Caenorhabditis elegans: one gene and its partners. The protein of the gene in region 2 purifies or fractionates together with the protein of the main gene of each other region. This does not show direct contact. Each region holds a gene or a part of one and is shown on either strand. Other genes may lie near its edges. The genes, in order: fkb-1, ilys-5, lys-4 and glrx-10.

What was found.
Region 1: the proteins of ilys-5 (region 2) and fkb-1 fractionate together in Caenorhabditis elegans (co-fractionation; one large-scale study listed by BioGRID). This does not show direct contact.
Region 3: the proteins of ilys-5 (region 2) and lys-4 fractionate together in Caenorhabditis elegans (co-fractionation; one large-scale study listed by BioGRID). This does not show direct contact.
Region 4: the proteins of ilys-5 (region 2) and glrx-10 fractionate together in Caenorhabditis elegans (co-fractionation; one large-scale study listed by BioGRID). This does not show direct contact.

What each region holds. Positions count from the first base shown.
Region 1 is NC_003282.8:11,033,195-11,039,743, forward strand, and holds fkb-1 (peptidylprolyl isomerase), read left to right. Parts: upstream 1-3,387; 5' UTR 3,388-3,391; coding exon 3,392-3,519; intron 3,520-3,564; coding exon 3,565-3,676; intron 3,677-3,727; coding exon 3,728-3,907; 3' UTR 3,908-3,980; downstream 3,981-6,549. Other genes in the region: Heme transporter hrg-6, read left to right, coding at 1-80, 127-287; kdin-1 (KAP NTPase domain-containing protein), read left to right, coding at 5,692-5,805, 6,090-6,155, 6,201-6,302, 6,434-6,549.
Region 2 is NC_003284.9:6,530,525-6,540,082, reverse strand, and holds ilys-5 (lysozyme), read left to right. Parts: upstream 1-3,242; 5' UTR 3,243-3,305; coding exon 3,306-3,339; intron 3,340-3,971; coding exon 3,972-4,084; exon of another isoform or gene 4,085-4,826; coding exon 4,827-4,943; intron 4,944-5,681; coding exon 5,682-5,738; intron 5,739-6,435; coding exon 6,436-6,534; 3' UTR 6,535-6,593; downstream 6,594-9,558.
Region 3 is NC_003282.8:11,618,416-11,626,036, reverse strand, and holds lys-4 (LYSozyme), read left to right. Parts: upstream 1-2,862; 5' UTR 2,863-2,938; coding exon 2,939-3,140; intron 3,141-3,731; exon of another isoform or gene 3,732-3,752; intron 3,753-4,098; coding exon 4,099-4,541; 3' UTR 4,542-4,608; downstream 4,609-7,621. Other genes in the region: lys-5 (Lysozyme-like protein 5), read left to right, coding at 463-667, 1,299-1,741; dsl-5 (Delta-like protein), read left to right, coding at 5,099-5,149, 5,196-5,563, 5,994-6,121, 6,174-6,535.
Region 4 is NC_003279.8:1,045,354-1,052,761, reverse strand, and holds glrx-10 (Glutaredoxin-1), read right to left. Parts: upstream 3,167-7,408; 5' UTR 3,160-3,166; coding exon 3,076-3,159; intron 2,358-3,075; coding exon 2,124-2,357; 3' UTR 2,035-2,123; downstream 1-2,034. Other genes in the region: Y34D9A.8 (Low-density lipoprotein receptor domain class A), read left to right, coding at 85-193, 737-846, 1,633-1,838; Y34D9A.7 (PSP proline-rich domain-containing protein), read right to left, coding at 4,576-4,806, 6,184-6,420.

The DNA of each region.
Region 1 (6,549 bases), on a different chromosome or scaffold from region 2:
TGTTGGTTTTTTATCAATTGGAGGAATGATAACTGCAATTGTGCTGGCTGCTACTAAACATCAAGGAGTATCAAATAAAGGTCACAAATACTATAAATTCCAAATAAAAAACATTTGAATTTCCAGATCAACATGGTTTAAATTGGTGGTCGACTGCCACATGGTTTCTTGTTATGCTTAAATGGACATGGCAAAACGCATTTATCGCCAGATATTATGGAAAGCTGCTGACGAAGTCAATTATTCACCCAGAGGAGCCAGATGATCCATCAACTTGGAAGTTTTAGAATGTTGATTTAGTTTTACATTTCGTGTGAAATAATTATGGGTATTATTAATGAAGTACATTTTTGTAATTGTTTTTGACTGATTTCTGTTGTGTACTATAAATGCTAATCTGTCAGGACTCGTTAGTTAGAGTGGAGATTCACAGAAGAAACTAAAACCTAATGAGACCCCAGAATACTGCCGGTATTCTGTCAGGACTCATTAGGTAGAGAGGAGATTCACAGAAGAAACTAAAACCTACTGAGACCCCAGAATACTGCCGGTATTCTGTCAGGACTCATTAGGTAGAGAGGAGACTCACAGAAGAAACTAAAACCTAATGAGACCCCAGAATACTGCCGGTATTCTGTCAGGACTCATTAGGTAGAGAGGAGATTCACAGAAGAAACTAAAACCTAATGAGACCCCAGAATACTGCCGGTATTCTGTCAGGACTCATTAGGTAGAGAGGAGATTCACAGAAGAAACTAAAACCTACTGAGACCCCAGAATACTGCCGGTATTCTGTCAGGACTCATTAGGTAGAGAGGAGACTCACAGAAGAAACTAAAACCTAATGAGACCCCAGAATACTGCCGATATTCTGTCAGGACTCATCAGGTAGAGAGGAGATTCACAGAAGAAACTAAAACCTACTGAGACCCCAGAATACTGCCGGTATTCTGTCAGGACTCATTAGGTAGAGTGGAGAGTTGGAAATGAAACTAAAACCTAATGAGACCCCAGAATACTGCCGGTATTCTGTCAGGACTCATTAGGTAGAGAGGAGATTCACAGAAGAAACTAAAACCTACTGAGACCCCAGAATACTGCCGATATTCTGTCAGGACTCATTAGTTAGAGTGGAGATTCACAGAAGAAACTAAAACCTACTGAGACCCCAGAATACTGCCGATATTCTGTCAGGACTCATTAGGTAGAGATGAGACTCACAGAAGAAACTAAAACCTAATGAGACCCCAGAATACTGTCGGTATTCTGTCAGGACTCATTAGGTAGAGTGGAGAGTTGGAAATGAAACTAAAACCTAATGAGACCCCAGAATACTGCCGGTATTCTGTCAGGACTCATTAGGTAGAGAGGAGATTCACAGAAGAAACTAAAACCTACTGAGACCCCAGAATACTGCCGGTATTCTGTCAGGACTCATTAGGTTTAGTGGAGAGTTGGAAATGAAACTAAAACCTAATGAGACCCCAGAATACTGCCGGTATTCTGTCAGGACTCATTAGGTAGAGTGGAGATTCACAGAAGAAACTAAAACCTAATGAGACCCCAGAATACTGCCGGTATTCTGTCAGGACTCATTAGGTAGAGAGGAGACTCACAGAAGAAACTAAAACCTAATGAGACCCCAGAATACTGCCGATATTCTGTCAGGACTCATCAGGTAGAGAGGAGATTCACAGAAGAAACTAAAACCTACTGAGACCCCAGAATACTGCCGGTATTCTGTCAGGACTCATTAGGTAGAGTGGAGAGTTGGAAATGAAACTAAAACCTAATGAGACCCCAGAATACTGCCGGTATTCTGTCAGGACTCATTAGGTAGAGAGGAGATTCACAGAAGAAACTAAAACCTACTGAGACCCCAGAATACTGCCGGTATTCTGTCAGGACTCATTAGTTAGAGTGGAGATTCACAGAAGAAACTAAAACCTAATGAGACCCCAGAATACTGCCGGTATTCTGTCAGGACTCATTAGGTAGAGAGGAGATTCACAGAAGAAACTAAAACCTAATGAGACCCCAGAATACTGCCGGTATTCTGTCAGGACTCATTAGGTAAAGAGGAGACTCACAGAAGAAACTAAAACCTAATGAGACCCCAGAATACTGCCGGTATTCTGCCAGGACTCATTAGGTAGAGAGGAGACTCACAGAAGAAACTAAAACCTAATGAGACCCCAGAATACTGCCGGTATTCTGTCAGGACTCATTAGGTAGAGAGGAGATTCACAGAAGAAACTAAAACCTAATGAGACCCCAGAATACTGCCGGTATTCTGTCAGGACTCATTAGTTAGAGTGGAGATTCACAGATGAAACTAAAACCTAATGAGACCCCAGAATACTGCCGGTATTCTGTCAGGACTCATTAGGTAGAGATGAGACTCACAGAAGAAACTAAAACCTAATGAGACCCCAGAATACTGCCGGTATTCTGTCAGGACTCATTAGGTAGAGAGGAGATTCGCAGAAGAAACTAAAACCTACTGAGACCCCAGAATACTGCCGGTATTCTGTCAGGACTCATTAGGTTTAGTGGAGAGTTGGAAATGAAACTAAAACCTAATGAGACCCCAGAATACTGCCGGTATTCTGTCAGGACTCATTAGGTAGAGTGGAGATTCACAGAAGAAACTAAAACCTAATGAGACCCCAGAATACTGCCGGTATTCTGTCAGGACTCATTAGGTAGAGAGGAGATTCACAGAAGAAACTAAAACCTACTGAGACCCCAGAATACTGCCGGTATTCTGTCAGGACTCATTAGTTAGAGTGGAGATTCACAGAAGAAACTAAAACCTAATGAGACCCCAGAATACTGCCGGTATTCTGTCAGGACTCATTAGGTAGAGAGGAGATTCACAGAAGAAACTAAAATCGTATAGAACCCGCGATGATCACATCTATCCCATGTGCACTAAATTTCCTCGTTTTTACTGGATTTTTGAATGTTTCAGTTGAAAACCAATCTGTTCCGTTTTTGGGAACGGAGTGGATTGATGCCGAGGCTTTGAGGCAGCCTTTGCGAGAGATTTGGCACTCATTTTGTCTGAAATTAATTATTTATAATAGAAAAACTGAATTATTTTGTAAAATTTGTAAAGAAAACGGTAAAAATCTGTTTAAAACTCGGGAAAACTCAAAAACTATGAACTATGAGTTAAAAATCCGACAAAAGTTGCGCCAACAACTTTTGCTGACCCATTACTCGTTTTCTCTGCGTCACAACGCCACGTTTGCTTGACTTTTGTTTGCACACCTTCGATTGCTCTTTTGCACTGATTTCTCTGTCCATTTTTCTATTCATAACGTATTTTTTCAATAATTTTTCGTTGTATTGTGCTTCTAAAAATCAATTGTATTGTTGTAGGATCATGAAAACCGCTGTTATCGTTGGACTTTTGTGCCTATTGGCGATCGCATATGCTGCCGATGAGCAGAAAATCGATAAATTGCAAATTGGAGTCAAGAAGCGTGCCGAGAACTGCGTTCAGAAATCCAGGTAAGCTTACTCTTTTTAATTAAAATAAAAATGTTAAATTTACAGAAAGGGTGATCAATTGCACATGCACTACACCGGAACCCTTCTCGATGGAACTGAATTTGATTCCAGCCGCACTCGCAATGAAGAATTCACTTTCACTCTTGGACAAGGAAATGTTAGTTTTTAAAGAAAAAACCAATATCAATAATTAAAATTGAAATTATAGGTGATCAAGGGATGGGATCAAGGACTTCTTAACATGTGCGTCGGAGAGCGTCGTATTCTCACAATTCCACCACACCTTGGATACGGAGAACGTGGAGCCCCACCAAAGATTCCAGGCAACTCTGTCCTCAAGTTCGACGTTGAGCTCATGAAGATTGACAGAGACGGAGAAGAATTGTAAACGAACTACGGATATTTAGAAAACGTGCCTTTTGTAACTTATTCATGTTCTCAGAGTATAATTTTTTTTTGCAGTTTTTTTTTTTGTCTTTATAAACATGCCCATTCTATATATTTGGACCGTCTGCGGCCATTGATCACAACCGCGTCTCGCTTCTCTTTATCACCTTGTATTGCACTCTGTCAGCGAAAATGATAGGGTGTGCGAGACATTTATCAATTTCCATACACCTTTTTCTCTTCTTACCTAGTAATGCCTTGCTTTCTTAGTTTTTAAGAATGATTATTTTAATCTGAAAATCTGGAATCAACAGTTTCGTAAATATTAGAATTCAAGTATGTGGTTCCTCTGTAAATAAAAAGCACGAATCGAAAAAGGAAATGCATTTTTGAAAATGTCGAACAATAAACAAAAAATTGGAATTCTATTAGTAGAAACCCAATTAAAACTGGCATCCATGAATTATTGCACCAACGATCCGAATGCTTCTTTTCTCTTTTTTTTTGTTCATGCTCCATCCTAACAATAGTTATAAATTGAGGTCGATTCTTGCTCTTCGTTGTCTTCTCTCAACACACGAGTAAATTGAGTATTCCTTGAGAGCCTCCTGTGAGAGTATTTGTGAGCCTTGTATTTCCTTTCTCTCACTGCTTTCTTCTTCAGTTTTGATGTATAAAAGTATGAATAATAAAACTGACATTTCGCACTGAAAATTCAACGTGGTTTCGGGAGTAATATTTGCATAATCCGTCTTCTTGAAACCAACGGAGCGTGATGGAAATTTGATAGGACTCGATATTTTCTCTAGAATTTTGAACTTGGTTTTTTGAATTCTCTATTTTTTTGAGATCTATGATAATCTAACGCTTTTTCTGTTTGCCTACGCTTTTCGTTTTTTTTGTGTTTCTATTGACAGGCTCCCATCCCATCATTTTTCGGTGTCTGCTACTGCGACCACCACTGACAGATGTGTCATTTTCTGCATTTTTTTTTCTGTTTTCCGAATATTGATTTCTATTCGATTTTTGAGGATTAAGAATAAATCATAAAATATTAAATTATTGGTAACTGCAATTGCGACCATTTTCGGAAATCGGTTTGAAACAAGCAAAAATAATTACCGAAGCTATATAATAAAAACCACTCATAAAACGAAGTTTCTCAAATATTTGTCGGAATTTTTCTTTTTAATTTGTAAAAAATTAAAGTTTCCAAAGAAATACCGCAGATTAAAGGCGCTGCCAATTAAATAATATTATTTTCTTTTTTCAGATTTGCAAATACAACAATGAAAGTCGCGTCGAGACCATTACAAAGTATTCTAGATGCGCCTTTAAAGTTACTGTAGGGACTTTTTGTTTTCTCTTTTCGATTTTTCTACGAATGCTTTGAAACTGTTTATTGTAGAATTTTAATGTATTTTAATCAGTTTTTGCTCTTAAATAGAGTAATTCCCAATAATTTTGTATCAAATTTTACCATTATCTACAGAAATTCGTCGGTTTTTCAATACATGCTGTCTATTATTCGTTTTCAACCCCATACAGTAATATTTTTCAGCTTTCAAACAAATAAAAAGAAAAACACAACAATTCTTCATCGATTTGCGAAGAAAAACTGCTGATCGAAATTAGTATTTATACTAAACAAGCGTCTGGAAAGTTTGTATATGACGAAGGACCACTGAAAGCAAGAGAAAATAGAGAAATCCAAGAAATATTGTGACGCGTTGTGGAGACCCAGGACGTTAGGGGAAAGAAGACGAGAAGAAGCAGCGAGGAGCCATGGTTCAAACACTGAGAAGACCGTGGCAAGAAGCGGCAAGCAGTGCTTTTGCCGTCGCCAGTGCTCTTCCGGTGACTATGAATAGTACACAAATTGCTGAGCTCTTCGAACAGGTTATATTTTATAATTATTAATAAATTTTAAGGAAACATTTTGAATCTCAATATGCTAATCTGAATTTAATACGATTAGAAATACTTTAATCGTCAAAAAAATCAATTTTCAAAAACCAAAATTGACAGAATGCTGTTTTATTTCGAAATTTAAGAATAAAGAAAAGTAATCACATCTTCCTAGAAATAAAACAAAGAAAATATCCTTTGAAGATCTTTGTTCAAAGAAAAACACTGAAAACATAAATTTTATTCATTTTTTTTTAACTTTGAAATGATTCCAGGTTGAGCATGGCACCACAGAACTCAGATGTGCACTCACCGCAGAAATATCAGCTCTCAGAAACGCTGTAAGTGCTCGAAATCGAATAAATTATTTCAAAAACAAATTTCAGAATGGAGAATCACTTCTCACAGTTGCCGTTCGATCAGGAAACACAGCAGTTGCCAAACAATTAGCACAATTGGATCCAGACGCAATTGATGAAACTGACAATGTAAGATTTCTGAAATAAAATATTTGAATACTCCAAAAAATTAATGAGCCATTTGATTTTTTTTCGAGTTGAGTTTAAAAAAAATCCTTATTCAAAAGCTGAATTCTTTTTTCAACTGAAAATTATTTCAGGAAGGTTGGAGTGCTCTTCTGAATGCAGCTCACTGTGGTCATGTTGACATTGTTCGATTATTAATTGATAATGGAGCATCTGTTGATCAACCTGATTTAATGGGATGGAGTCCTCT
Region 2 (9,558 bases):
GCCTTCCGGGAATTGGGATTTGGAAAATATGCCTAATTAAAGTGACGAGATATAAAGTTGGGTACGGAAGAAGTGTTATCAGGTTATATCCAGTGTTTTTCGGCTACCAGGCGTACACAACTCGTTTGTTACTATGAAAAAAGCGACACGGGATAATGGAAATTCGAGAATTGAATTTAAGAAAAAGATAATATGATAGGGTTAAAGTATTACTTTAGAGATTTAAAATCATGTTTGTCTTCCCGCGGTTCTACTCCCTTTTCATTTTATTTCATTCAACGCCTAACTATTACTAACTCTCTTTGGAGAGGAAGTCAAATCAGCGCAAGATAGATTAGAGACCAGTTTGGATTTTTCAAAAGGTTGCAACTAACAAGACTGAAAGTCTAATCGGATAATAATCTCTTTCCAATCCAATTACAAATTAAAAACGAAGAGAGGAGAACTTGAAAAGAGTGCGTTGGTTGGAAGGCAGAAGGATATAGTTGAAGTACATCCTGAAGCAAATCGGATGTTTGCTTGTTGTCAATTGATGACTCAGTTCTTAGAACTTCATGTACTGACAATTTGGTTATCACTATCGCAAAAAAACAATCAGACGGATGCAAGAATAGCTAAAATAGTCGCGGGTTCAAAATAGATATTCGTATATACGTTCTGCAAGGTTGACTATAAAATGTTTTCAGTTACGTTTCAGTTACTTATTCATCACATTACGTACTTATTCATTGTCAAAGTAGATTTAGCAATCAAGCACTATAACATAAGTATGACGTTGTATTGACATTAACGGTGATTGATTCTGACAATTCATTCAGCGCGGACGAATCCGATTTACGTCGTAACTATATTCTTACCCAGTGCTTTGTTTCAATGGGTTTTATCAGCACAATAAGTTAAATTGAAGCGTAAAAAGCAAACGACATGTGTTTTTTCACACTCATCATTACGCTTTATTTGGCCATATCACATCACAACATGGGTCAAAATTCTTAGTTCTTGAATTCTTTGTTTGTAACGGATCTCAAAAACAACTACAACAAATTGAAAAGTGGGACGTTGAAAAGATGGAAACGTTCAAATTCAAACACGTGGCTAAGAAGGAGGAACTAGCTCAGTGGAAGTTAGAGCAGCTCAAAAGCTCGCCGGCGGTAATAGTTTGTTTTCGAATGACACCAAAGATTCGAGACTTTCGTTGATTATAAGAAAGGCCTTTTTTCGATGAAAATAATAATTAACAGAGAACGTGGAATCTCTGTTCACAATTTCCGAACTTAAAATGCGAGTTCTAAGAACACAATTTCGAACATCTGCTGTTCAAGTACAATTTCCTGGTCCGGTATGTGAAACATTTTCTACTAGTCCAAGCTTCACTTAGAATACTAAATAGAGTTTGTTCTCAACTGAGTCTTCAGCTTTCGATTCCTTCCTGTCTTTATATAAAAACATGCGCTTCTGGGAGTAAGTTTGTTTTTATTAGATAAAAATATTATCATTCCCTTGTTATCTTTTTGTTATTGTGTTGAATAATCAAACAAGATAATTTTCATTTAAGTGTGTGAAGCGTCCGACCAATTCAGAACATTCCTACTATAACCAATGTAACAGTCTATGTATAAAGTCACATGTTACCACACATTTTATGATTTTTACGGAACTAAAGAAGAGTTTTTAGAAACTACTTGGTACATACTTATCAGAATGGTTTGCACGAAGGAAATTGGTCTTGAATTTCAATTTTCTCTGCCGCTTCTTCCAATCTCCCAGCACACCCATGTCTATGAAGCAAAACCAAATTGCGATGGAATCGGAGCAATTTTTGATATCAACTGATAATGTTCATTCGTTTCCGAAAAGTCTTAACGAGGCGAAACCATGCCGATCGCACTATTTACAGATCATATTATAACAAAAACGGTTTGTGTTTCATTATTTGATAGCACAAACTGTAGACAAGGAAATACGCACCTAGTTTGGTTTGCTGGAAGAGCATGACAAAAGAAAACAATTCTCCATAAAAGCGTCTAAAATGTAACAATGAAGATCGAAAAGTAAAAACTTGTGGCAAAGTTCTAGACTGGATAATTGATGCGACAACCAAGTGGTTTTGTTGCGTTTTTAGTCACGATTATTCCAATTCAGGCTCTCAAATGACGTCGTCACACATAATGAATGAATTATGACAAAACAGACTGCACTACTGAAGAGAGCAATGCGGAACGAGGATTCAGTGTGTAAACTAAGGTAAATCCGCGTGAACGTCGTAACTGCTTGGATTTACTGTCTATTCACTCATTAGTGAGTGATATACTTGTATTGAATGAAATTTCCTAAAGCTCCCGTCGTTACGGAATTCACGGTCAATTGAATTTACAAAAACCGTCCGTATTCAAAAACATTATTATAAAATGAATAAAAATTGAATTGTTCGATGTTTGATTGTTTACTGTTTTGGTTTTTGTTTAGATTATTCTACTTGTACTTGAATTGTCCTTTTAACATTTTAGTGAAAATAATCAAGCTTGAATGAGTTTTTTTTCAGTTTCACATGACTTAACCCTTGCACAAAGTTGTTGAGCCGGAAACTAAAGCTTACTCATTAGAAAAATTTACCTACTACCTGATCGTAGTTAGGGTTTTTACAAATAATCTTTGTGTTAAAAGAGAAAAACACGCTTGTTTTGTGAAAAGAATGCTGGTTCGAGATGTATCTGGGGAACTGAAAAACGTCGGTTCAAAAATTAGCTCAATATTATTTTTAATGGAACTTTATAAGAAAAAAACATCATCACATAAATACGAAAATCTAAATATTACCTCATTGAAATTTGAATAACAAAAAAAATGGTCAAAGACACAAATAAATATAATCTTGATCCTATTTCAGAGTATTTCCTCGTCCACCCCCACCAATCAAAAGTATATTAGGAAGCCGCGTTCTTTTTGACCCGAAGATTGGATTATAAGATTAGCAACAGAGGTGTATCCTTTCACGGAAAATTGCAGTCCATTTCAATAATCACAAGATTTCTGATTTGTTGCATTGTGTTGGTTTTCTGGGGAAGGATATACGTTTTTCTAGAACTATCCATGCCACACTTTGATTGGCATTGAAAGTGGCATCAATTGCTCTTTCGCTCTGCGATCACAGAGCTGTAACTCCGCCTCTGACAGTCTTCGGTACAGGTGCTTACGTAGGAATTACCGGGTTTTGAGATAAGGAATTGTGATCAAAGGCACGTGTAAGTTGATATAAAAGAGAGTCCAAAAGTTAGCAAACTCAGACAGCTTGTCCATCAGCCGATATGTTTGTCAAATCGCTTCTGCTCCTTTCTGTCGGTGAGTGTGATAACAAAATTAAAACTGGTTTCAGTGAACAGCAAAATTGTATAAGATCTAGTAAATCACCAGCTCAAAAGAATTAGATCAAAACCAACATGAAATTGGATTTTTAAGGTGCTAATTTAATTTCAATGTTTACATTTTCTTTTTTTTTTAGTTATCAGTTGAAAATGTTTCGATAAGTCTGAACACTGATGCGTTCAATCAATTAAAACAAAACTAGAGAAATTTTTAATTTCCATAAGGCTGGTAATATCTTCTTTTAAAAACAAAGAATGAAACGTCATTTAAAGTTTAATATCGGCTAACCAAAGATTAATCTAGACTCAACTACTCCCATATTTAGTGTTAACTCTTGTTGTTGTTTGCTTGTTTATAAAATTTTATCGGATGAAAGTTCGCTTAATATTAGCTCAAATCATTTCTCGGCTCACGGGACATCTGATTATAGGTTTACAGCTAATAGCACGTTTTGAAAGCTAAATATGTGTTTCACATTTGTAAAAAACAATAGGGAAAAGTAACAACAATTATAGATCGAAGAAATAGGAGAAAAATAAAAATAAATTGAAACTTTAAAAAAAGGCAGAGACAGCGAATAGAACTATTTCGTGATTACGGTATTTCAGCTATTGCGTACGTTTCCGCCGACTGCCTCCACTGCATCTGCATGAGAGAGTCAGGATGCAAACCAATCGGTTGCCACATGGACGTTGGATCCCTCTCCTGCGGATACTATCAGGTAAATCAAGATCAACTAGGGAATATGTGAATCTAGAAATGGAAATAGCAGAATATCAGAACACGTTTTCAATTTTGTCATGAAACCATACAAGATGTTCGGTTGCCTGTTTATTGTTTTGCCATTTAAATAAGGAAACAATAACACTTCAGAAAAATACGTGAAATTCAAAAGCTCATCTTTCATGTCTTCATTAATTGATGGTTTTTGAAATCGGCACGAAATGTTTGTTATGCCTCATTGAACAGATATTTCTTTAATGAAAATCTAGCATAATTGAAACGGTTCATCGGACCACAGCCCCCATATTTTTCACATATCTCTTCTCAAGCGAATCGGAAGTTCCTAATCAGTATGGTAAAATAAATCGCGTTGAATTTTAATTTTGAGTTTTTTCGATAAAAATGTATAACAAGAAACGATGTTTTAAATTGCTAAAACAAAAAAACCACAAAAGAGCAAATGCGTACTTTCCCGAGGAAATGGACAGGAAATGCTTTGAAAATGTTAAAACGGGATTGATTTTTGTATAGGGGAACTTTTGCATTGAAGCTAAGAAGATAAAAGGCATACTAGAAATGAAAACTTTCAAAACCATGTAGACAAGGAAATTGTATGGAACAACAACAAGGATATACAAAAATTGAACTCTACTCTATGTATTCCAGTTTTTTTTAATTTTAAATGTACCAAGACCCAACTATAAAAAGTAAAGAATAAAAATATAATATGTTTCTTTTAGATCAAGATTGGATACTATGAAGACTGCGGACAACCAACAAAGAAGGCTGGAGAGACTACTGAAGCTGCCTGGAAGAGATGTGCTGATGATCTTAACTGCGCTACCACTTGCGTCGAGGTACGTGCAGATTTAGCAACAGGATACATGCAAAAAAAATCATCAAAATTCTTATTTTGGGAAAACGGGTGTTGAGTGGGTGCAACTTTTCATCCTTAAATCGCAAAATTCCGGATAGACTGCGGCTTATTTCAGTCATGGAAGCAATTCTATCCTTTGGGAATCTCGTCATATCATTCTCAAAATTAAAAACTTCGCGACTAAATTTAGTGTACGAATTACGTGGATCGCCCACCTGAGAACTCAAATTTCTACTATCTGCCGCTAATTGAGGCAAATTAATTTAAACGTCATGTAGACAATACTGCGATGAGTAACTTTTCTGCAATTTCAACGGCGGAACTAGAAAAAAAGGAACTAGCTCAAAATAAGTTGCGAGATAATGTCAAAAATCACAGAATTAACCTGTAAACAAAAATGCACACATAGCAAACGAGCCCAGCAAAAAACGTCATTGTTAGCTTCTATGTATGGCTATAGCGGTGGCGACGTTAACGACATCAAAGACAATAAGTACTTATTGTTATCAACACCCCGCTAACAACGTGCTTACCACGCCATAAAAAGTAGCAAAGAAAGATTATGACGGCTTGAAAAGAGGTTAAAGAACTCTAATACGGAATGAATGTTTGCACTCTTCACAAAATTTATTGAATACGTCAAAAATCACATATACAAAAGAGGAAATCTAAAATTTTAAAATCTACATGTTATACAAGCATTTTGAAATAATTTCAGAACTACTACAACCGCTACAAGTCTCAGTGCAATGGACTTGGAATGGGAGCTTGCCAGGTGAGTCGCCTACGCAGTTGTTGTTTTGCTCTGGGCACTTTCAAATTGTGTAGATGAAATACAATTTAAAGTTTTCGAGTGTCTGGTAGTTTGGAGGAGGTTGCCCCCCGATTTTGATTTTTGAATTGATCAGAAGGAAACAAAATATTTCATAAAGTGATGCGAAGTTTTAGGAAAGATACAAAAATTTCCGCGAAAAAGGGGTCAGAGTTTTTTATTTAGAGCAAGAATGCTACTACGCAACTAACTATAAGAGGTTGAAAATTAAATGTCGAACATTTCTATTTTGGGTAGCAGGGGAAAACATTAATATGCCATAGTCACTAGGTAGGTGAAACGACCCTCTGGAATAGAGAAATTATTGCAGACCTGAACAGGTCTGACGTAGAAATGTCTAGAGCATCCAAGTAGTATTCCACCAAAAAATGTACATATACTTCCTGACAATTTTTGGAAAATTCTGACGACAGAAACACTACAATTTTTTCTCGATTCTTTATCTTTTAATCATTTTGGTCACACTTGAGCAGTTTTTTAACATCATTTCATTGAGTGGACATGTGTATTTGACAATTGATAATAGTGGGACTAACAATCAGAAAACTACGTAGCATTTTCAGAAGTATGTTGTTTTGTTCAAGTTAGGACAAAAGACCTTAGATTTCAATCAAGCAAATGGCAATCCATTCAATTTCAGATCATGTCCCGTAACCACAACGGAGGACCACGTGGATGCCACAACGCCAACACCTTGGCTTACTGGAACGGAGTTAAAAGCTGCTGTGGATGCTCTTAATTTTCAATTTTATCAAAATAAGAATATATATGAATCAATAAAGCTTATTTAAAATCAAAGTAGAAAGGATATCAAACTTGTTTATAAGCTTTTCAAAACATAGGTTGCGAAAAAATGCGAACGTTTTGAAAAATAATTGAGTAGGCGAAGAGGTCAGTGGGTTTAAAATGATGTCAGAGTGAACAATTTATGAGAACAAGCATATCGTTTTCTAAATTTGTAAAGGTCTAAGTAGACCACCATCTATGTCATAGGTTGTATCTTAAAATAAGTTGACCCGTTTTATGATCTAGTTTTATATTCTTTTTGCCTCTGGTGAGAATAAACAAGGCTTTCAATTTGTCTGCTCGATGATGCATGATGTTTACGATACTTTCGGATTAAAATAATCGTGAGATGGATTTGCACGAAAAGGTTGCGGAACGAACAGCTCGAATGATATTAAATGATAATCTCGAATTGTCAACAAAGTACATTATGAAGTGATAGGAACTGTTGTTCGCAGACCTGAGATGTTTTGAAAACTTGATTTTAAAACCTACGCAACCGGAAAATTAAAGATCACAAGATTTCTGTGAGGATCATAACGGGTGTAGGTAGCAACTTTATCTCGGTGTTTCCACATTTCTATTTCAGGCTTAAAAACAAAGTTGGTCTTTTTCGTTCTCAAGTTGAGCTCAAGACAGAAGTTGGGAAAAATATCATTTTCAGATTACCAGCAAACTTTTCAAAACAGAGCAGAAAGAAGAAAACTGATCATTCGTGATAAAATATTTAGTCTCCCGAGGATGAAAAGTTTAAGGAAGTTAACTTTTTTATCTGTTGTTAATAACCTATTTTTTAGATTGAGTATTCAACATATGTTAAAAAAAATGTTTTCACTTCAAAATTTGGAAGAAAATTAGGTACTTTTCCGATTTTTGCCCCCCAAAATATGTTTTACTCAATATTTCAATTTAAATTCACACGTGAATGTTTATTTTAATACTATTTCAAATTTTTAGGCTTAGAAAAAACAATACTAAGCCTGAAATTACAAAAAAGTTCACGTTTCATTAATGAAAATATCGAAACATTTTGGGGGGGCAGAAATCGGAAAAGTACCGAAAATTAACTTAATTAACTTGATAAGTTCAAAACTTGTCTGAATAAAGTAAAAAAACCAAAGATTTTTAAAAGTTATAAAGTGATGCTTTTTGATTATCTATCGTATCCAAACAGGTGGTCAGACAAAACAAACGACACCTCGTGAGAATATCCAGACAGCTAACAAGTGACTGTGAAACAAGGAAAAACTTCAGAACACATATTAACTGAAAAAAAAAACACTTAATTTTTCTTACTTTTCTCTATTTTGTTCTCAATTGATATCATCTCTTTGCCGCTGGTTTTTCTTGCTCTGACTCTGAGCAAGATTTTTATTGGCACGTGAAAAAATTGCATCATTTCAGGGCACCACTGAGCGTGGTCCTGTAGCATGTGACCAACAAAAATTACGAAAAGAAATTAAAAATTTGTTTACTTGAAATTGTTGTAAGTTATAAAAAAGTTCCCTACTCTTGATAAGAACGTCTTATGGAATTCGATATGGATTTTTTTTAATTATGTGTACATTTTTTTACCTAGATTTAGAATTTGAGCCGCGTTAGGGGGGGCTTTTGTGTAAAATTGATTTTTTACAGACGTACAAATCTGTACGAAAAAACCAAAAACAAAAATAGTAATAAGACGACTTGTATACGCGAAACGATAGAATAATTTTGCAAACAAAAATTCTCAGCTTCTGAAATTCTAAAAAAAACGAGTTCTCGCGTGTATTTCTCTCGAGCAATCACTTGATTTATTTTTTGATTGTTCAAACGTTTTTATTTTTCCCTTTATTTTAAACTGAATTATAACAACAATAATTAGTAATTCATAAAAACAATTTGAACTGAATACTAGCTCAACAACATCTGTAATTAGTGGAAATTTCTGTTTTAGCGACATAGTAATTTATAACAACGAGTGTTGTTCCGTTTTAAGTTGTATGACTTTTAAAAGTTGACAACATGCAAAAAAAGATTAATAACCATTTTTATAGTGCTGAAAAGACTAAATGTCTTGATAAAACTTCTCAAAATACTTTTGAATTTTTTTGAGATAAAAAAGGGTTAATTATTGTTTAACTACTTACAGTGTTAAAATAAGAATATTTTGAACACAAATGTAAAATTGAAGAAATAATTGTTTGTTTTATGTGAAGCATCTGATGGAGTCATAACTAACTACTGTAAAGTTCAAGACGATCAAATAGTGGCCTTGCAAAACTAATGGTATTATCCTCACTTCAGCTAGCTGATCCATTTAACTGATAGTCATAAAAACATGAGCAAGTGTATGATATATTACAAAATATAAAAAATGTGCTCGCATGTTTTTCAGTTGTGAAAACATAATCCTTGATGATATTTACCGTTGAGTAATAAGCCAAGAGAAAGAACAAGTGTAATGGTTTGGCATTTTACTACACAATCAAAGTTCTACTACGATTTCGGATTCCCATGGGTACCTTGTGTGCTGTTGTACTTTCATTGTATTATCTAGTTTTTATACACAAGTTTTGAAACATCAGGTAGATATGCAACAAAAAAACTATCCAAATGCAATACTTAAATTGAGTTTCGGTGATTGGCATGTAATTGAAAAGAAATCGCAACATTTGGGGAATGGTGTTATCAGTGTACATGGTGCACTTGAGCATGGAAGAAAAAACCACTAGAACCGTTCTTTTATCAGTTGAACGTGGTTGTTCAATTATTTTTTCCGTCGCTTTCCATATCGTTTTCTCTTTGAAATTTTCCAATTTTTCCTGATTTCGTAATATATGACAATTAAAATCATCTAATGAGATTAGTGAAGTGTTTGCTATGACACAAATTTGGGTTCGGTTTCTTTTTGTGTAGAAAGGGAAAAGGAAGAGGTGTCACGTAATAAGTCAACATTTATCCTTATGAATTTGAGCGACAGAAAAGGCGGCCCAAA
Region 3 (7,621 bases), on a different chromosome or scaffold from region 2:
CAACGTTTTCCAATTTCCATGTACTCCTTGGCTATAGTGGACCTGTCTGAATTTGTGCTAGACCCAATTAGAAGACAAAGAATATAAGTACAGTAAGTGGAAACTAGAAAATGGTTTGGAAGCCAACATCAGTTGCAAAACCACGTGCAATCAAACAAAACCAAATAATGATAGAGAGAGAAGGAAACATATGATAATTTAGTCTAAAGATAATTTAGATCAAATTCATGTTGGATTGAACATCTTGATTAAGAATTCAGTCGTAGATCTATTCTCAATATTTGTTATTTTATCATTTTAACAATATTTATTAACGAATTGAAATGAAAAAAAAAAGAAACAAAATATTGAGCTCTCTTGAAATTCCTGATTTTATCTTTCCGCTTGCGTCAAAGTCATAAAAGTCTCCGGTATCTGGGAAGTATAAAAGAAGTGTATGGAGTCTGAAATGTCTGGAGAAACATGAAGCATTTTTTCATTACAATCCTTCTTTTCTGCAGTGTTGTAAGTGCAGCTAGAAATGGAATTGATATCAATTCACCAGTATCCACTTCTACTTTTACTTGTATTAAGAATGCTGGATTTTCATTCATAATTCCCAGAATTTATCATTCATCGGGAAGTGTAGATACTGTTGGAGTGCAAAATGTCAAGAATGCCAGAGCTGGTAGGTTTTTTAATGAATTAATATGTATGCTGTGAATCATATTCATTGAATGCCCTATATTTATTTATGAATACATTAGAGACTTACCTTAACTATTAAGGTTACTGTAGGAAAATGCGCAAAATATTATATTCTGAATCTTCGCTTTCTTGGAATTTAGGATGTGGCAGCTTTTTGTGGAAATTTTTTACAGTAGCTTCGTGGCGAGAACCACCATTTGAATAGGACAAACGACAACTGAGATATTAATTGTCAAAGTTGAACAATGGGATGCAAGACTAATAGAGGAAATATTACATATTAAAATTTTCGAGCTAAAAATATTTAAATTATGTCTATAGAAAGGTAACTTCATTTTAATTATAATAGAAACATTATCTGTCAAAAATGCAAAACTATTATGCAAAACTATTGTTAACGCCAAGAGTCGAAACTCCTATTAGATTACGGTCAGTGAGTTCAAATGAGGCTTCAAATGGTAACGTGAGAATTCGAAAGTTTCAAAATTAGTGAAATCAAAAGTATGAAGATAACTTCCGGGTATACTGTTTAAATTTTCAAAGAGGCTTAATGGTTACTGTAGACTCCCAGTGTAGCTAGAAGTTGTTTGATTTTTAAAACACTGTTGCAGCTGGCCTCACTGATGTCGATGGATACATCTTCCCTTGCCTAAAATCGACTTGCGCATCTGCTGCTAACCAAGTTAAGGCGTCTCTTGATGCAGTTAAGGCTGCTGGAACTAAGATCTCCACTCTATGGCTTGATATTGAACGTCTCAATTGGCCAGCTGATCATGCTAGCAACCGTGCATTCATTGAAGCAATGGTCAGTGAAGCAAAGGCTTATGGACAACAAGTTGGAATCTACAGTAACTATTACAATTGGCAAGATATTGTTGGATTGGATTATCATGGACAATCTAGTTTGATGCTTTGGTGGCCTGCATACGATGGAGTCAAGGATTTCTCAAAGTACGCTCCATTCGGAGGATGGTCGAAGCCAACAATTCATCAGTGGTCTGACACCACTACTGGTCCGTGTGGAGTCTCTGTTGATATGAACTACATTCCATAAATAATTTTTTAGCGCTTTAATAATAAAGTGTATATTTCAGTAAACAACATTCGTTCATTATTATGATTTATTCATTCCTTTAATAACGTTTGAGAATTGCTCCGAGCAATTCAAAGTAATCTGAAAAGCATCGAAAATTACTTGAAATTTAATAAGGAAATTCAGTTTTCGATGACTAATTTTTATTTTGAAACTACTAGAAAGTCTATTCCAACTTTTATAATAATTTCTGCAATAATTATTGAGGAATTCCTTAAGGAATGATACAGTACGCAAATGAGGCATGTACGTTATTATCAATTTTTGTGGAGTATTTCGTCAATTGATCACATTTTGATGCCATCGTCGGTAGCAGAAATCACGTGCAATCAAATAATGATAGACGAAGCAAAAAGGTTGATAATGTAGTCTAATGTGCGAAGTTCAAATTGCTAATCGAAAAATAAAACACATTGGGGAGTTGGGTTTTCAGAAAACTCGGTATATTTGAAATCATCTGAAAATCGGCTAATGACTTTTAATACAATTCCCGGTATTTTTTAGGAAGATGTACCGTCAAAGAGAATAAGTCATGAGCTCAAAAGCTTTCTAGGTCACAGCCGACCTGTGATCTGAAGCAGGGAACAAATCAAGAACATAATCACGTTTTCAAGCATCTAACTTTAAGCACCTTATGTTTTCTCAGCTTTTCACGCTTCCAAACAGATTAATTAAGTTATTTTCAATAAACTGTATAAACTTCAAAAAATTTACAGATAAACAATGAATTTCACAATGTTTGGATTGAAAAATTGATAATTTCTTTAGTGTTAATTTAGGCAACGCCAACAAACCACGCACAAGCCTGCTGCCGGGACCATTAGCTTGTAGAAATAATACAGTACTCGGGAGGGTCGAAGGTTTCAATTTTAGTTCTTTTGATCTCATTGTTGCAAATATTGAAAAACGACGAGAGATAACGGTCGAGAAACCCCGAGAAATATTTTCGAAAATGAGACGAAAGTGTAGTTGCTCTCCATATTTTGTTTCATATTTTACATCAGCCTCTGAATAAAACAAAAAAGATAAGAGAAGAGGGTTTATGAAGTTTTTGATTTTATCTTTCCGCTTGCGTCAAAGTCATAAAATTAGAATCTCCGGTATTTGGGAAGTATAAAAGAAGTGTGTGAAGGCTTAATCAGGGGAGTTCAGAGAATCATGAAGTTCTTCGTCTCGGCTTTGCTTTTGATCGGTGCTGCAAGTGCAGCTAGAAATGGAATTGATTTCATTCAACCAGTGTCTACTGCTACATTTCAATGTATTCATAAGGCTGGATATTCTTTCGTAATTCCAAGAGTCTTTACTTCTGTTGGAACTCTTGATCATACTGGAATTCAAAACGTCAAGAATGCTAGAGCAGGTGAGCATTTCAGATGGGTATCAAGGAATGGTTTTTACCATTTTCAAAATAATTTCCATTCTTGGCAATTTGGTTCTCCTTTCCCTCGCGATTCTTCGCCTCACACTTCTAACTTATAGGTCTGTGCATACTTCCTAGTATAAGTTATGAGTATTAAATTTGTAAGAAAATACTTAAACTAACAAAATCTTATCTCTTTTTCTTATTTCTTTTTGTTTGTTTAAAAACTGCCATCAAATAATTCAAATACACATATTCCCAAAAGTCAAGATGTAGTGGTCAATGAAATATCTTTTCGTTACGTTTTACAACCATTCATTGTCCCCTCTGACTGTCTAGTTTACCAGGGCATGCATTGTCACATGATTGTAAACAGAGTATGGAAAAATAATAATATTCAAATATATTTGTCAATAGGTTGAATATAGAATTCAAAATTTAAACTAATCTTGCTCTTTAATATGTTTTACAAGTATACATACAATGCATCTAGTGAGTGAAACAATATATTACCTCTTGAAACTAAAAAATGAAAAAAAAAATTACAGTTTCTTTCTAAGTATTATTGTCCAGAATAGCAGAAAATTCCAATTTAGGTGATGGTTCGACTGAAAATGTAATATGAATGTTCAAACTTGTAGGGACTACCACAATTATGCTTTTCTAAAAAATTAAACATTTTGGAAAAACTTCCAAAAGAAAAGTTTTAGGTGAAAATTTTTTCAACCATAACTAATCATATGATCCTTTTGAGCTGAATATTGAGACCGTAAGGGGGCCCTTATGATCACTTTAAGTTGGAATAATCAGATCATAAGGATGAGCTTTATAGTATTCCAAGTCAATTATAAGCATTGTACGGGTTCGAACATTCAAACTGATAATATTCCAATTTATTAAAACATCTGAAGTTTTCTACAAGTTTCATTCAGTACCAAGCTAATTACAAATTTTGCAGCTGGCCTCACCGATGTCGATGGATACATCTTCCCATGCTTGAGATCTAACTGCCCATCTGCTGCCAATCAAGTTAAGGAAACTCTTGATGCTTTGAAGAGTGCAGGAACTCATGTCTCTACTCTCTGGCTTGACATTGAACGTCTCGCTTGGCCAGCTAATCACGCCAGTAACCGTGCATTCATCGAGGCAATGGTCAGAGAAGCTCAAGCTTACAAGCAACAAGTTGGAATCTACAGTAACTATTACAATTGGCAAGATATTGTTGGATTGGATTATCATGGACAATCTAGTTTGATGCTCTGGTGGGCAACCTATGATGGAATTAAGGATTTCTCAAAGTTCGCACCTTTCGGAGGATGGAGCAGACCAACAATTCATCAATGGGAAGGAACCACTACTGGCCCATGTGGAGTCTCTGTTGATATGAACTATGTTCCATAAATAGCTGACCAAAATGTATAAACATGAATAAACAAATTTTTATATGTAAACCCATACATTTTCGCTAGTTTCAGACGCGCAATTGATTTCTTGATTTTTTGAAACAATTTAAAACTGTAAAACTGACAACAAATGGGTCAGTTTTAGAACATTCGAAAATTATGTTTTATTTTCAATAATTTTTTGTTACTTATTTAAAAAATTTATCATTATTGTTCGGAGACTTTAATTATATTCTCATTCAGAATTGTTTTCTATTTTTTTAAATCTAGACCTGTGAGTTTCAAGTGAGTTTCGGCCAAAATAGTAACATCAAAATGGCTTTACATTTCAAAAAGCAGATACGGTAAAACTTAAATTTTTGTTCTCTTTTCTTTCAAAACTATTATGTTGTTGATCTTCTAGACACGTTGTCAAGTCAAAATGCGTAGTGATGACGTCACTTGGGGTAACCTTGAATTACACAATTGACCTCAATCGAATCAAAATTAAAGTTGACGAGTACAAATATTTAGTCTTGTTTTTTTGTTTCTCCATCTCATTATCAACATTTCAACATGCAACTTCTTGCGATTTCTTTCTTATTTATAACTTTTATTATTGAATCGGTGAGATTTTTTGAACCACTGTAATTTTAAGATTTTATTTTTACAGATAATTTGTTCTGGATATCTAGAATTACATATTCAAAGTCCTCATATACAAACCGCAATTGTGAACATCTCATCAAATTTTCGAACAGAGAAATCAAAAATAGTGCATTTAAAACTTAAATCTAATGTACCATTTAACGTTACAAGGATTCCTGTGAACTTTGATAATATCTACAATATAACCATAAAATGTGGAAAATCAGAGGAAGATGGCAAGTTTAATTCATATTTTAAAAATTCAACTCCAAAGTATTTGGGTCTAACTGACACAACAATTGTCTCAACTGTTCACCCACGTGTTGGGCTGTTATCACCGGCTGCTGTAGCCAGACCTTTAAATGGAATTCGAATCGTTATTGGTTGTAATAAGTAAGCTCGTTTGTCTTGAAATTGGATTAAATGTTTGTCACAAGACAACTTAGAAATCACACGGTACTGTAGAAAAAAAAGTAAATATATCTTGTGAGCATGTTCTAGAAATCTAGGATTTCGTCTGGAAATTTTTTATTTGGAATTTTGTATTCCGTGCAATTTCTATTGATGACAGTGAATTCTGGTTATAGAGCTAACGGAAAAATTGGAATGTTGCTCAAATTCTTTGTTTATACTTGACATACTTGACTACGGTTCTATCATAAATTTCATTGTAAAATCTAGCTTTTGAAGAAAAGTTTGTCAAAATGTCATTTTAGGTCCTACAACATTTCAGTTCATGATTATTACGGCTGAAAGTCTGAAAGTCTAAAAGAGAAAATATACCATTTTTAAATTTTTTTTTGAATCTGTATCATTGTTTTAGAAATTGGTTTGGTGAGAAATGTGAAACTTTTTGTGATGAGAACAAAGCAACCAACTCGGGAAAACACTGCAATTTTCAAGGAAAACCAAGTTGTTTGAATGGATTAACTGGGTCAAAGTGTGAAAAACGTGAGTTGCATATTTTTAAAACTAATCTCTACGTGAGTTTTATAAATTGCAGTCATTGTTCCAAAGTTGTGTAACTGTGAGAATGGTGGAGTTTGCATTGATTCAAATCCAAAACCAATTTGTGAATGTTCGAAAGCCTATCGCGGTGAAAAATGTGAAAAGAAGCATATATCAGCGTCTCTTTCCTCACATTATAAAGGAGACTTTTGGAATTTTCGAATGACATTTTGGCAGTTGATATTCTCGAATTTAGTTGAGAATGAGTTGGCAGAGATTAGCAAATCGGAAGCTTGGGAAACAATTAATAACCTATTGGGAAATGTTTCTGATACTCCGTTTGCAAATCGTCCAAATAATACGGAAACATTCCCAATAACTGGTTCTGTTAATCTTGATAATGTTGATATCATTTAAATTTAAGTTCTATAAAATCATTTGAAGTAAATAAAAACATTCACAGCTTTATTGTGATTCATTGTGACAATTTCATGTATAAAACAACTGAACCATTTATTTATCAAAATATTGTACCATTTTAATAAATTTTCAAGCTCTAACAATTGAAGTTTGCCCTGAACATTAAAAAAATGGAAAGCTGCTGGAACATTTTAAAAGTTGTTGTTTTTCTCTTAGTATTTCCTAATATTTTTTAGATGGTTTCCGATAGTTATGGGAACGTTCTGCTACATTTTTAGTGTTTTTTTTTATTCTGAAAACTCGTAAAAGTAAAACCATAAATTTCATAATTTTTGAGAAGTATCAAAATTTTCTAAATTAACGTCGAAAAGTTGTGTATTTCTCAAAAGGAACTCATCGCGTTTTCCTGGTAACCTCTCTTGTCTTTTCAATAATACGTCTTCCCACATGCAGATTTGCAGGCAACAGTGGTCAACTACTCAAAGGAAAGCGACACCAATCTATATAGTCTCCCCAGAGAGAGAGAGGAGAGAGAGAGAGAGAGAGATCTTCCCAGAAGCCTGGTTGTGTATGTGATTCTATATCGATCGCTATGTGCACACCGAAAACGCCGCGTTTGCAGCCCCCTAGACCGACTCCAATGTTTTCGGTCATTCATTTTTTTGCTTATCCCCCCTTCTTGTGAGTGCGATCCACTCAAATATAAAGGGTTCCTGGCGAGGGCCATCTGATTAGGGTGCTTGCACTAGGCCAATTTGGGGACTCGTGTTCTGTGGATCAGTTAAGGAAAACAACCCTAGGTCTTTTAGCTGGTTTTGCTACAGCTTTCTTTTTTGTCCTGAGTTGATTAGTTTGAAGAAGATTTCCGATCAAAATTTTAACTTTTTAGCTAATTAATTTTTTTTTCAAAAAAAGAAGAGTTGTAACTCTTCTAATCTTTCAAAGTTTTTTAAAGTGCTCTTCTTGTGATTTTTCAAATTTCCATTCTCTTCTCCCCTTATCCTTCTCCCTTATCCCTTCCCTTTTACCCTCTCCCCTTCCCTTTGCAAAATCGATGAATGGATGGATCGACGATGGATGGAT
Region 4 (7,408 bases), on a different chromosome or scaffold from region 2:
ACTGTTTTGCAGTGGAGCGCATCGGCTTGATTTTCAATGGCCTAGAAATCTCGGAGAAACTTAAGCCATGTCTTCTATTTTCAGGGGAATGGGAATGGGCGTGTCGAAACGGAGAATGCATAGCACATTATGACGTTTGTGACGGGATTACGCAGTGCACCGACGGGTCCGACGAGTGGAATTGCGAAGCGAGGTTAGGTTGCAAACACGCTCCAATGAGAAATTGCTCCACGTGGTGCCATTATGGTTTGATCTACAAAAAATGCGGGATTTTTTTGGCCAAAAATATGTGACGTCAGCACGTTCTGAACCATGGGAAATCAGTTGAGAACTCTGCCGCATTTTTTGTAGATCAGCGTAGATCAAGCCGCAATGAGACACTCTGACACCACGTGCGGCTTGTAAAAATCAATAAATAGTCATTGCTGTGCGGTACATTTTTTCACGCTTGTTACGAAATAAAATTTATATTTTATATAGCATTTTGACGACATTTTCCTTATCAGTAAAATTATCAAATTTTCCACCCAATTCCTTGGCTCGTTTTTCCTCCAGTTTCCACTTCCTGTTGAAAAAAAAATCCAAAAAAAATCGATAAAATGGCGGATTCGCTTCTCTCGAATATTCTTCAACAGGAGATCACCGATTTTCCGGAGTTATTCGATATGGGGTTTGTGTACACAAATATGTAGAGTCTATTGCGCTCTATAAAAAATCAATAAAATCGATATTCCAGGGGCGGAGCGCCGATGGCTCGTGAGGGAGTTGCTCAACCACGACAGACAAATGTGCAGGCCACCGTAGCGGCGGTGAAGGAGACAACGACGATAACCGCTGAATCTTCAGGTATTATTGATTTTTCTTATTTCGAAGACTATATTACGCGAACGCGTATTGCACAACATATTTGACGCGCAAAATATCTCGTAGCGAAAACTACAGTAATTCTTTGAATGACTACTGTAGGTCGATTTACGGGATCTCGATTGTCGAAATGAATATATTTTCGAATAGCCACAGCGACATTCAATTTAAATTTTTAATTAATTTCAACAAATCAAGCGGCCGTAAATCAACAGAAGCGCTACAGTAGTCATAGTTTTCGCTACGAGATATTTTGCGCGTCAAATATGTTGTGCAATACGCATTCTCAGAATTTTGTGTTCCCTGTAATACTACGCCATACGAGCAAGATTCTGTTGAACTAGGACACACTGCATCTCACGCGCAAACTAATCCCAAACCTCAAAAAAACACTATATTTCACGCGCAATTGTTGCAAACTTTCAAATTGAAAGCCACCATATTACACCATATCTTACGCGCAAATTTAATTAAACTATGTAAAACCACGTGGCGCACCAGAGTGTCTCATTTCGGCTTGATCTACGTAGATCTACAAAAAATGCGGGAGAAGAGACGCAGAGTTCTTAACCGATTTCGCACAAAAATTCCCGCATTTTTTGTAGATCAAACCGTAATAGGACAGCCTGGCACCACGTGTGAAACAACATATCTTTTTTGAAAATTTTGCAGTAAATCTCATGGTATGCGCCAAAAATTAGCCAAACTTCGCAACACACCGAATTTTACGCGCATATTCATCAAAAACCTTTTTTTTTTAATTTTCAGGCACCGTCACAATCCAATACTCGCACATTTTCTTCGCCTTTGTCGCGTTTTTCGTTCTCTCGGTTGCCGTAGTCGCTGTGATTCGTCGGCGATCACGACAAAAATCCGGATTTCGAAATCGACGTGGCGGCGGGCACGGGGGCCCGAGCATACTGCAACAGGATTCCGACGAAGACGATATTCTAATCAGTTCTATGTATTCTTGAATTTCGTTTTTTTTTTGGCACGTGGGGTGCCAGGCTGTCCCATTACGGTTTGATCTACAAAAAATGCGGGAATTTTTTGCCCAGAAAAATGTGAGAACTCTGCGTCTCTTCTCCCGCATTTTTTGTAGATCAGCGTAGATCAAGCCGCAATGAGACACTCTGCTAACACCACGTGTTTTGGCTGTACTACTTTTCTCTCTTTTCTCACTTTTATCTCGGGTTGTGTCATTGAATTATGAAGAAAAAAATAAATCAAATACATAAAAATTAATGGCGATTCAAATTCTATAGAGCTCCGGTTTCCTTGAGCAGTGCGGCGAGTTTTCCGTTCTTGGCTCCGGCCGCTGTGTCGTCACCGCCGCCGAAGAACTTGCCGTTGATGAAGACACGTGGCACCGAGCGGGCTCCGGTTAGAGAGCCAAGATAATCCTGAATCTCATTGCAATCCTTGCGCTCGTCGATTTCGATCCATTGCAGAGCGTCGGGCTTCACGTTGACCGATTCAAGAGCAGCACGAGCCTGAAAAATTGGGGTTTTTTAATTTTTCTCAAAAAATTATTTTAAAAAATGTATCCGAGACTCAAAAATTTTGCAAAAAAAAGATTTTGAAAATGGATAATATTTTTCTCAATTTTCACGGATTTCTGGCTTCCCTCATAAATTGAAATGGAAGAGTTTTTGCCGAACTAGGCCATTTGGCTCGGCCATATCTGGGGTAGATTTACGGCGCGTTGCGTGTCGCGTCGCGGCTCGATTTCAGTTGTAAAACTAAATGTATTTGTCCGTGTGGAGTACACGACACTTTCCCACGCGTTGTCCGGCAGCCGATTGTCAATGGAGCGCGAAAAATTCAATGAGGAATGCCAGAACCCCGTGACAGATTTTTTCGCAAATTATTGATTTTTGCCGTTGTCTTCAATTTTCCGAAAATTTCTCAAAAAAAATCGCTACGAGACCCAAAATTTCTGCATTTTCAGAAAAATACAGAAATGTTTGATTTTTAAGTTAAATTGAATTTGCAAAATTTCATACTGGTGCAACTGCGCTCTGTTGCACACGATTTTTTAAAATAATTTTTTTTGGAATAAATTTTTCAAAAAAATTGGGAAATTTCGCTGAAAATCCAGAAAAAAGCAAATTTTTTAGGACAAAATTGTTCAGAAAAATTTTTTTTTTTTTTTGATGACAAAAAGCAATTTTCGAGGAAAATTCAAATTTTTCAGAAAAATTGTGTTACCTTATGGCAGTACGGGCAGTACGATTTGCTGAATACGACAACTTTGGAAGATTGGAGAAGTCCGTCGACAAAGGCTTTTGACATGGTTTTTCTGAAATTTTTTGGTGTTTTTTCTCAAATTTTTGTTGAAAAAAAAAGGCAATGAAGTATAAGAAAAGCGTAGAGACAATTTGAATTTGAAAAAAATTGGGGAAAAAAAAATTAGAAATCACATTATCATCAAATAAATAATATATATATATATATATTAAATTTACAAAAACAAAATTCTGCGATATTATATAAAAAGGGAAAACATAGGCTTTAAAAGCAGCAAAAACTGAAGAAAATGATGATAAAAATGAGAGTGGAAATAGTGTATGGAAATGAGAGAGTGGCGAGAGAAAAAGAGAAACGGCGGCGACAATGACGTAAGAATCATGACAAATAGTGTTATTAGGCGAGGAAAATTCGGGAAAAAATACAGTTGTGAAATACAGAAATTTATAAAAAAAATTTTAAAGAAATTTCGAAATTACCGCCGTGCGGTGGAGCACAAATGCATTTTTGATATTCGATTAAAAAAAAATTTTTTTTTAATTTTTGGGCTTTCTAAAGCTAAATGATTTTTTTTAACTTTAAGGAGTTTTTAAAAAATTTAAAAAAAGGCCTTGCAAATGCGCTTCATCGCAAATTTGATGGTAGAGATGAAAAATTGGAGAATTTGAAATTTTCACGTGGTGTCAGAATGCCTCATTTCGATTTGATCTACTTTGATCTACAAAAAATGCGCGGGGACTGATTTCGCATGGTTAAGAAAGCGCTGACGTCACAACATTTTTGGGCGAAAAACTCCCGCATTTTTTGTAGATCAAACCGTCGATGGGACAGCCCCTGGCACCACGTGAATTTTGGGAAAAAAAATTTTTAAAAGGTTTTTTTAAACGCTTTTTATTTTAGACAAATCACTTTTTTTTAATTTGAAAATTAGTTTTTTTGCACCAAAAAAATTTCAAAAATCGGAAAATTTTGAATTTTTGGGATCACTTTTACTTAAAAAAAAACTCGTTAATTCGGAAAATTTTACGATTTTTCTGAAAAAACTCTGCAAATGCGCTCCATCGCGAATTTGCTGGTAGAGATGAAAAATTGGAGAATTTGAATTTTTGGCGGTACTTTTTGCCGAGTTTTTGAGAGAATTCATCAACTTTTCACGAAAAATTGATATTTTTAACGCTTTTTCTGATGAAAATTGCAAAAAAAACCTTTAAAAATTGGGCTAATAACACTTTTTTCAATTAGAAAATTAAAATTTTTGGGATAATTTTTTCCTTTAAAAATCCCATTAATTTGGAAAATGTTACGCTTTTTATGAAAAAAAAATTCAAAAAAAAAATTCTGCAAATGCGCTCCACTGCAAATTTGTCAACCATGTGAAATTTTAATTTTTAGGATAATTTTAGGATAAATTTAGGCTAATTTTAAAGTCGAAAATCCAAAAAAAAAAAAAAAATCAATAAATTATTCCTTCTTCTTCATCTCATCATCTCCACTATTTCTTCCAGTGATCCCTTTCAAAGTACTCATAATTTTTTTGAAAATGCCACGTGGCTTCTCCTCCTCTTTCGCCTCGAATGGCACAATGCCGACGGAAAACGCTTCGAGCGATGGTACAGTATCCTCAATCCACGTACCCGTGACGTCACGGCGGGAGAAGATCGGGGTGCCGATGAATTCCGAAATTGATTCTCCCTGTGGAAAAATATTGTTATTTTTTGGAAATATATCAATTTTTGAAATATATCGACTTTTGAATCAGGTGGGTGGGCGGAAAACGATTTTTTCCGGCAAATCGGAAAATTGCCGGAATTGTAAATTTCCCGCAAATCGGCAAACTGGGAATTTGCCGGTATTCAACAAAATTCCGGCAATCGATTTTCTTATCCGTTTTTTTTTTTTGGAAAAATATGTTTTCTGAAAAGAAAAAATCGATAATCTGGAATTACATATATTGAAAAATATTGATTTCACCGGAAAAAAAATTTGGAAAAATTTTGGAAAGAAAAAATCGATTTTTGGACAAAAAACCTTGAAAAAAAAATTGGAAATCGATATTCTGGAGATATATATTTTTGGGAGAGAAATCGATGAAAATTTCAATTTTTTGGAAGAATATTGATTTTTAGAAAAAAAAAATTTTTTTACTGAAAAAAATGATTTTTTTTTTGAAAAATGCCGTTTTTTGAGAATATAGAATTCTTGGATTTTTTTTTTGATTTTTAGAAAAAATACCTTTTTTTCTGGAATAAAATTTAGATTTTATTTTGGAAAAATATAGCATTCTAGAGAAAAATATCAATTTTTTATTGAGAAAATTCAATTTTTTCTGGAAAAAAGTATAGACTTATAGAGAAAAATGTGTATTTTATTTTATTTTCAGGACATTTTTTTTTTTTGGAAAAAAATCGATAATCTATAAAGAATATCGATTTTCTGGAAAATATTTATTTTTGGTTAAAGGATAAAGATTTTTAGAAACGTTTTTTTTTTCAAAAAATAAAAATGAACTTGGAAAAAAGTTCATTTTTATTTTATTTTTAATATTTACTTTTCGAAAAAAACTTAAATAGTTTGGAAAATATTTATTTTTGGTTTAAAAAAAAAGTTTTTTTGAAAAATATCGAATTTTTTCAAAAAAAAATTGGTAAAAGTTGAAAGGATTTTGGAATTTTGGAAAAAAAACAGGTTTTTAAAAAAAATATCGATTTTTTTAAAATTTATATTTTTGGAAACCTTTTTTTTTACAAAAATCGATTGGAAAAAAATTTTTAGACAAAATAATTTAATATTTGCAAAATGAAAAGAATATCGATTTATTTTGAAAAAAGTATTGAATTTAGAAAAATATGGATTTTTTTTTTTGGAAAAATCGATTTTCTGGAAATTTTTTTACTGAAAAAAAAACTGGAAATATATAGATTTTTCGGAAAGTTATCGAATTTTTTTGGAAAAATAGATTTTCTTGAGAAAAAATTTTTTTTTGGAAAAATCAATATTCTGGAAAAAATGGTAAATGGCAAAATGATTGATTTTTGGTAAAAAATCGGTTTTTTTTTCTTTCAAAATTACCATTCTCCCAACGGGCTCCGGGGTCCCAGGCTTCTCCTCGACTGCCGCCGCCGCCGCTGCCACCTCCGATATGGTTTGATCTACAGTAACCTCCTTCTCCACCTTCTCTGCACTATCTCGTTGTTGTTGCTCCTCCTCCTCTTTCTGCTGTTCTCGGATCTTCCGAAGTTCGGATCGCTGGTGACGTTCCTCACGAATTCGGATTTTCTCGGTGCCCTCGTGATCTCTGGCAACTTCCTGGAATGACATTTTTTTTTAAGTGACATTTTTTTGAATTTCAGAAAAAAAAGTGTTTTTTTCAAATTTTTTCCAAAGCAAATGATTTTAGAGAAAAATCTATGAAAATTGGAGTGAAAATTAGACAGAAAATTGCAAAAACCAAAAAAATCAGAAATCTTTTGGATTTTGAACCTTTTTTTTGTGATTTTTAGCTTTAAAAAAAGTAGAAAAATCGGCAAAAATTTGTTTTAAAAAAATATTTTTTCAAGTTTTTATTTGAAAAACGTAAACTGAAAATTATAGCCAAATTATTGATATATTTTATTAAAGGTGGACTAGCGCCAGTGGGGAAATTGCTTTAAAACATGCCTATGGTACCACAATGACCGAATATCATGATAAAAAAATTCAAAAAAATTTTCTAAATTTTATATGATTTTTTGAAAATTGAAAAAATCCCAGTTTTTGCCTAATTCCTATTTGAATTTCCGCCAATTGGATTTGTTCGATGGAGCGCGCTTGCACGTTTTTAAATTTATCTATTTTATTTTTTGTTATTTTCTACCGATTTTTAAGGTTTTCGGTGTATTTTTGCTTGAATTTTAGAGAAAAAGTCAAAATAAATGCAAATTTTCGATTAAAAAGCACGCTTACAGGCGTAAAAATGAAAAAGTACCGATTTTAAACGATTTCGAATCTGAATTAATTAATTTCACTGATTTACGCCTGTAATCGTGTTTTTCAATCGAAAATTTGCATTTATTTTCACTTTTTCTTTAAAATTAGAGCAAAAATACACCGAAAACATTAAAAATCGGTGGAAAATAACAAAAAATAAAATAAAAAAATTTAAAAACGTGCAAGCGCGCTCCATCGAACAAATCCAATTGGCGGAAATTCAAATAGGAATTAGGCAAAAACTGAGATTTTTTCAATTTTTAAAAAATCATATAAAATTTAGAAAATTTTTTTGAATTTTTTTATCATGATATTCGGTCATTGTGGT